Mus musculus: one gene and its partner. The protein of the gene in region 1 interacts with the protein of each later gene in a biochemical or structural test. Links are inferred from orthologs where the notes say so. Each region holds a gene or a part of one and is shown on either strand. Other genes may lie near its edges.

Region 1 (4,299 bases):
TTCCACAGCTCAGCATGTGGGGGCACACGCATGGCCATACCCTGAAAGCCTAAACAATGATAACAACAACAAGATTCCACGATAAACAAAAATGGAAGACAGACAACAGAACTAAGAAAACAACAGGAAGAAGGCTGAGAACAGGTGTCTGAGGTGGTCAGGCTCCTGCCACAGAGGATGCCGCCATCGCCATCAGGTTACCTCTGCAGGGAGGCAGGAGTGGGAGAGGGGATAAAGGCGGGCTTTTAACCAAATACCTCTGAAATTTTGATCATGTAAATATACGACCTGGTTTTAAAACGAGATAAGTCAAACTATGTATCTGTTCCTTAAACGTACTTATTTGTATTGAATAACTGAAAAAACAAAACAAAACAAAAAAACCCACGAAGGCCAAAGGGAGGAAGCACTAGCACCCAGTGCCCAGAGGGAGGGGCGCGAGGTGTGGCTTGCACCTTTCAGCATATAGGCTTGCAGGGGGCAGAGCTGTTTGTAGGGACCCCCCCCCCCCCCCCGGTAAAGACGGGAATCCAACAAGGCCCTCAAAGCTTAGGATGGCCAAACAAGACAATCATTTACCAGATGAGAGCTTATCTCCCAGGAATTACTCACAACAACTCCTGAAAGACAAACAGAGAGGAACATCCTCTTAAAGTCACTCCCCCACCCCATCCCACCCCACCCCGCGCTCCCACAAGCTTTTTAGTTAGTTGGTTAGTGAGAAGGGCCAGTAACAGAAATGCAGTGAGCACCTGAAGTAGGTCGAGAAAGCGTGTTCTTTTTAATCAGATGGAGAACTCATTTAGAAGGAGGGGTGCATGCCTGCCATGCTCAGAGCCTCCATTCAAGCCTTGGTGTAGAGTATGTGGTGTGATAATCTGTAGCTCCAGACTCAAGATGTAGAGGCAGGAGGATTAGGAGTTCTTGTGATTACATGGTGAGTTCGGGGCCAAGTTGGGCTACTATGTAAGACCCTGTCCCAAGTAGATGGCCAGACAGACAGACAGATTATGGATAGATTATAGATACGTAGACAGATTATAGATAGAGATAGATTATATGTAGGTAGGTAGATAGACAAATTGATAGATTATATGTAGGTAGATAAATTGATTGGTTGATAGATTATAGGTAGCTAGACAGATTATAGGTAGACAGATAAACATTGATGTGCAGTGAACATATCTTAACTGCTGGCAATGCTTTCTTGACTTCATTTGTTTGCCTTAGAGTAGCCATGTGTATTTATGTATTTATGCATTATGTATGTATGTACATATGTATGTATGTCTGTCTGCACACACCATTGAGAGGGTGTGCATACCAGGGCACTCAGGTAATCTGAAGACAACTCACAGGTTCCCCCCCCCCCCCCGTCACATGGGACCCTGGGACCCCCCCCCCACCCCCCGTCACATGGGACCCTGGGACCACACTTAGGCCCTTAGACCTAGAGTTTTCCCTGCTGAGCCTTCTCACTAATCCTAGGTAGGTCTCTTAGCTCTATTCCACTTACAAGACAAAGGAGCTGAAAGCTTTTCTTAAATTGCACTAACTGCACCAGTTCAAAACGGGCAGGCGTGTTAACAAAGATCGTGTACTGGAGCTTTCTATTGTAAATACACAATTACACACAACCTTCTCGCCACCCCCATTATCTGGAAAACCCACTGACACAGTTACTTAAATGACATCTGTGGCATGCGGTGGGTCTCCTACAAGGTGACATCAGCCCTCAAGGATCCAGCAGCTAATCACTTGGCCAGAGAGAATCAAACCCAGAGGCTTGGCTTCTTTCGTCTTATTTCATACACTAATCTAAGATTTGGGTAGACACTGTTCAGGAAGTTTGAGCCCTGGGCCAGATTGAAGCTTAGCCTTTTACCTGTGCCCCTGTCAGGCAGGGGGACAGGACTGGCTTTGCTACAAAGATCCATCCAAGCTATGGGCCTGGTGTGTGCCACTGTGTCTGCCCCACAAGGCCATGCTCCGGCGTCACATTGGAGGGCTGCACAGACAGCAGCACACCGTGGTCTCCATTCCATCTCCAGCCTGCTGCTGTGCTAACAATATCACCTTTATATACAGAGATGGGATACTAGTGTGGGTCAGGGAGATCCCGCACAGCTTTAGTATCTATCCTTCTGAATGCTAATAAGTAGATGTGTTTCAACTATGCCCACACTCCCTTCCTTCCTTTCCTCTGTCTTCCCCTCAAATTCCCAGGGGCTTCATGTGCTAGGAAGTGCTCTGTCACTGAGCTACATCCTCACCACCCTGCCACACATATGTTTTGTTGTTTTGTTTTTAAAGCTTGCCTGGAGGCAAGACTGGAAGTCTTGCTAACAGGGGTTGGTCTGTAGGAAGGCCTGAAAGTGACCCACACCAGCAACAAAATGGGGAAAGAAGACCCCAGGTGGAAGCAAGGCCTCGCTATGTCTTCCCTGACACAGCACGGGTCTCCCTGCTTGGGCAGAGACACAGCTCCGTCTCCCCTCTCCCCAGCCTGAAGGGAAGGGGGCCTCTGCAGTTGGGCCTCCTCCAACTCACTTTCTGCGTCAAATAGTACGGGTCAAAGTCCTCCAGGGGAACCGCAACCAGGCCTTGCGGGATGTCCCCGTAGATGAAAGGCAAACTCTTCCCCGCCTCCAGGTCACTGTTTGGCTTGGGCTTGCTGTCTTCATCGTCCTCCCGGTGGCTGCCATCCGCCTTGGGTGGTTTCTTGAGCTTGCTCTCGGCGATGCGCCTCTCGATGTTTGCCAGCGACTCGGGGGTGAAAGGCTTGAAACTGTCGGGGCCTGGTGGTGCGAGCAGCCGCGCTGCCATCTTCTCATTCTGCAGCAGCTTCGTTAGTTATGCTGAGTCCGGGACAGGTCGGCTCTGGAAGAACAGCAACACAGGCAGCGTTAATCAATCACCGCTCTAAAAGGAGGCCGGGATGAAGCCAGCTCGTTCTCAACCTCCATTCACAGCCTCTGCCACACGGCTTCCACTTCCGCACGCTTCATCCTCATCTTAAAAAATCTACAGCAAGAGTGGCTTGGGTGACCTTTGTAATGGTCCTCGGGAGAGCGGTCAGCCAGGGAGAGGGGAAGACTGGGGTCTCCCTAACTGTGGGCATATACAGTATTTATCTAAATCCAACCCACTGTTGAGAATCACACACAGGCACTCCGTTCTCGGCTAACAAGGCAGTTAGAGCTCCCTAGGGCCTGCCTTTGCATGCTTCCCCTCCTCCCTCTGGATCTACGCTCCAAGAAAAAAAAAAGTTTTCCTTTAAGGGAAAGGAACGGGTAAATTTTCCCTCCTCTCAAGAACTTCACTTTCGGAAAACAAAACTAACTCCTTAAAACTTCTGCCGACAGAAAATAATGGCAAAATAGCTCCCGTCTGAATTCATCCTTCCATTTCAAAGGTGTTTCAATTGACTGAGCTGTGGGAAATCTGCCTAGTATAAGATTCCAGTGGTATCTTTTTTTTAAGGATCAAGAACCCACTGGGGACAAACAAAGAAGACATCTTTCAGTGGAAAGGGCTGCCATCACTCCCACAGATCGCTGCTTAGCAATGAGAAAGACCAAGAGAACCTCCAGGTCCCCCCATGTGCCAGCCACGTGGCACTGCAGGCCTGGGGGTCTGGCTCCCTAATAGAGACTCAGACAGAAGGGAAGATGGACCAGAGACTCTGCCCTTTAGAATGAGCAACAGCATAGAAACCAGGCATCAGGGATTGTGTAGCCCACGTTCGAAGAGCCTTTGCACTCCTGTAGACAGAACCCCGAGTTACTTCCATCCAAGACAGGGTTAGGGTTAGGGTTAGGGTTAGGGTTAGGGTTAGGGGATCAGGATGCAGAGAAGCACTCGCTCATGTCTGAATGGACACAGACCAGGCGCAGTACTTCCCCTGCTGCTCAGAGTGGTGCTTCCAGCCTGGGCAGCATAAGGTCAGCCCAGGAAATATACTTCTTAATGTTCTGTCTCTCACAGTCCACACATCCTTTAAGAGTATTTATTGACTTAGTGTACATACACACACACACACACACACACACTCCCAGGAAATAGTTTTGGAAGACTAGAGATTGCTGTTTCTGCTCCTACTTAGTCCTCAGGGTCCACTTCCCATATCTATATAATGGGAGCCTGCTCAAGAGAGGGACCGTAAACGCTTACTGGTGTCCCTCAGGACTCCTTTCACGGATCTGCCAGCCCAGACTCTGCCTTCCTGTAGCCAGGCACTTTCAGCATGGGGCTTCCTGGGTAAGAACCAGACACTGCCCCTCCCCCACCTCAACACAC
Region 2 (3,821 bases), on another chromosome or scaffold:
TCAGAAGTATGGAATTTGGAAAGAATTGGAAAGGGGAAACATGATCAGAATTTCTTGTATGGAAAAAAACATCTAATTTCAATAATCAAAAACCAAAGCAAACAACAGCAACAACAATGGCAATTATTACTCAAGCAACTGTTAATCTTAATTTTCCACCTGATTGGATTGACTTATCTGGTGGGTTCTGACTCTGGTTATATCTATGAGATAATTTCCAGAAAGGATTAACTGCAGGGAAACATGTACTTTGAATGTAGGCCATATCATCCCATGGGCTGGGTGCTCTGACAGAACAAAAGAATGAAAAAGACAAATCAGAATTATGGGATTAATTAATTATGGAATTATGAAAATTTGAAATTACTTGTTATAGAAAAAGGCTTTGATAAATTATTTCTTTGCTGGTGAAATAAGCCAATTCAAGCCAGATTAGATTATATTAAATGCAGGTTGACTGGAAGCTGCTCTTGGGTGAGTTCACTGGCCCCAAGGACTAAGGCCAGAGGAATTGCCATGAGAAGGGAGAGAGATCAGAGGGGAAAAAGAAAGGGAGAATGAGCATGTGCAGAGAAGAGAAGGAGAAGAGAGAAATAGAGAGAAGGGGGTAATAAAATGACTAGATTTTACAGGGAAGCGCCTTTGGGGGACTAGGAAGTTCAGGGTTAGAGCCAGGTAGGGACTGAGAGATTCTAGGAGAACCTGGAGGCCATGTCTGCTTTGATATGTAAAACATACACCTCAGTCCCTTGTCCCAGGGTCCAAAACCAAGCAGGTATATATACAATACAGCCTTAATTATCACTTAGATATCTCTTTTTTACAATCAGCATTTTAAACACACCTGTCTTCTGACATGCTTGTTACAGAGATGTTATAATACTTCAATATTAGCTCACTTTCCAGAATGTTATTTGTGTCCAGTTCATCATCCCATCTCTGAAGTAAATGTGCTCAATGCAGCTGTGTGCATAAAATAATGGCTGAGCTTGATTTTTTTTTTCATTTCTTAAAAGCTAATCAAAATCCCAGAGCTATTCTGTTGGGGACAAATCTCTCTGTTTGGCCTGTTTGCTGTTTCTGTTTGCCTGTTGGCTAGTCTGTAGTTATTAAAGACTATATGCTAAATTGTTCACGGCATCCTGTAATTTGGACAGCACAAACAAATTTGCATGTTTTATTCAGCTGCTGTGGAGAGAAGCCTGTTGCCATGGTAAGAATGATGATGCCCCATATTAGATATGCTCCCAAAATGAGGATGGCCTTTGCAAAGCCACATGCAAATACTTATTTTATTAAACAGAGCTAGCTTCTAGGGAAACATTACTAGAATTACTAGGCATATACCTTTTCTCAGAGTCATTAAGTAGGAAGACCACAATACATAGCTTCCCCTTCTGTTCTAGTAAATGCCCACCTCCATTTACTTCCATGCCTGATGTTCAAAAATCAAATTATACATACATATATATGTATATATATACACATACACACACATATATACATATACATGTACATCATATACATCATAAATATGTATATATACATATATGTGATGTATATATTTTATACATACATACATACATACATACATACATACTTGGCTGTACTTTTCAGTTATATAAATGAAGAGCTTTCTTGTTTCATTTACACCTTAACTAGTAACTTGTCCTAGAGCTGACTCCTATGTTGATTAATGTATTGTTATGTTTTGTTGTTTTGTTTTGTTGTTTTGTTTTGTTGTTTTGTTTTGTTTCAGCAGTGCTGGGTGCTGCACATGCAAGGCACTCACTACAGCATTGAGCCAAGCCCAATCTTCTTTTGATCCTAGGCCTCACTTTGCGTTCAGAAGTGAAATGTCTGACTCTTGTATGTGTCATTAATAAACACCACAAGTTCTTCCATGCAAGCAGGAGGGGGTCGTTGTCCAAACTGGGAGTTTTAGTAAAATGTACACTGCATTTTAACATATTATTTTAAAGTACAGTTTTCTCACGCTTAAGGTTGTCAATTTAAGTAAAATGAAAATTAAAATCTTTAATAAAGTTTCTGAGTCACTTCTTTGAAAATCTGGAATTGCCACCCTGAATGAAAGGAATAATTTGAGGTTAAAATCATAATTAAACTAGTGATTTAATTAGTTTAACCATGTAATGAATAATGTAAACACACATTCTAGTTTCATGAAATGCCCTATTTTCTGAAGCTTATTATTATGCCTGCTTTAATTGTGGTGGTTTGTGTAGTCTGGATATCATGACCCAGACAAGTCTGGGAGCTAGAAATGTGCAGCCTCTACAAAATGTCTTCTTCTGAAAAAGAAACATCAAAAATTTTAAAAGAAGGGTAACAGCCAACTTTCCCCTCAGCCTTGTGAAGCTGATAACCCTTGTATTTGCCTTTCAGATCCCCAGCTCAAGGGCATAGTGACCAGGTTATATTGCAGGCAAGGCTACTACTTGCAGATGCACCCCGATGGAGCTCTCGATGGAACCAAGGATGACAGCACCAATTCCAGTAAGTGACAAACCAGGTCTGCTACTGAAATGGCTTCATGAGATGCATTTCTAAATGCTTGGTTCTGTTGGCTTTTCTAGTTGCCCACGAGAATGCATGCATCATTTCACTGAGACCACATTCATGAAGGTACTAATGTAGAAGGAGGCACTTTTGGTCTTAAACTGAGTTTGTTTTTTTCTCACAGACTGGTTATGTCCAGAACATCAGTATTCATCCCTGATTATAACAGTTAGGTACATTGGTGCATTAGTATAAAAGTTAATATCTTTTGCATAGAGGGTAATCTTCAGATTATTACTCTTGTATATATACACTATATAAAACATTTGATTATCTTATAAATAGGGTCTGTGTTCATTTAAAAAACAATGTACTTTTTGTAATGTTGTCTTCTATGTGCTATTTTTTTATGTTACAATTATTACATTTTTCACAGGATTTATCTGGGACCCTCCTTACTTAAACGTTTTCTCCTATGCTGGTCTCTAATTTCCTCTAATTGCACGTTAGTTTTAACACACACACACACACACACACACACACACACACACACACACCCCTTTTACTGCTGGGTTCAGAAAAATTACCAAAATGTGTTTTGATAGATTTAGTTGCAGGACTAGAGCCCTTATGTCATGAGCAATGATAACTGTCTAGTTATCATTCTCTTCACAATAGATTATAATCCATAAAAAGAAAGGAAAACCTGATTCATTTAATGGAATAATCAGCCCTTCCTGGGTTTTTTTTGTTTGTTTGTTTGGTTGGTTGGTTTTTTTTTTTTTTTGGTTTTTTTTTTTTTTTTTTTTTTTAGTTCTACTCATCAAGTTCTGAGGTATGGATTCTGAGATCAATTAATGACATGAAATCAGTTGTTTTACACATGATGTGTCTATGTGAAGTATTGATATTTTCCTATCTTTAAATCTGAAATGAGCTGAGATTTATGAATATTGTGTTTACATTGGTAATTTGTGGGACTTGCTTTACTCCATTCAAATAATATTATAGATACATTTTCTTGTTAATCTTCCTTTTCTTTTTCTAAATAATAAATCTTTCTATTGTGTCTTGCATTTTTTGCCTTAAAAATGATCTTTATATTATTTCCCATTTATTTATTTATTTATTTATTCATTTATATTTTCCTTTTTATTGGGAAAAGAGAAGGAAAAATAACTCAGGTACTGTGAATAAAAGAAACAACTGTTGGCAGAGGTCTTACAAATAAAATTCCTCTTTCATAAGAGACTGAGTGTTATTATCTGCACAAATCATAACAAAAGTTTTCAAAGGGAAAA

What was found.
Region 2: the proteins of Scn8a (region 1) and Fgf14 form a complex in vitro, tested with the Homo sapiens proteins (2 studies listed by BioGRID). The link is inferred for Mus musculus from reciprocal best matches to the Homo sapiens genes SCN8A and FGF14.

What each region holds. Positions count from the first base shown.
Region 1 is NC_000081.6:100,934,852-100,939,150, reverse strand, and holds the start of Scn8a (sodium channel protein type 8 subunit alpha), read right to left. Parts: upstream 2,881-4,299; 5' UTR 2,827-2,880; coding exon 2,551-2,826; intron 1-2,550. UniProt on the Homo sapiens protein: Pore-forming subunit of a voltage-gated sodium channel complex assuming opened or closed conformations in response to the voltage difference across membranes and through which sodium ions selectively pass along their electrochemical gradient.
Region 2 is NC_000080.6:124,134,878-124,138,698, reverse strand, and holds part of Fgf14 (fibroblast growth factor 14), read left to right. Parts: intron 1-2,406; coding exon 2,407-2,517; intron 2,518-3,821. UniProt on the Homo sapiens protein: Probably involved in nervous system development and function.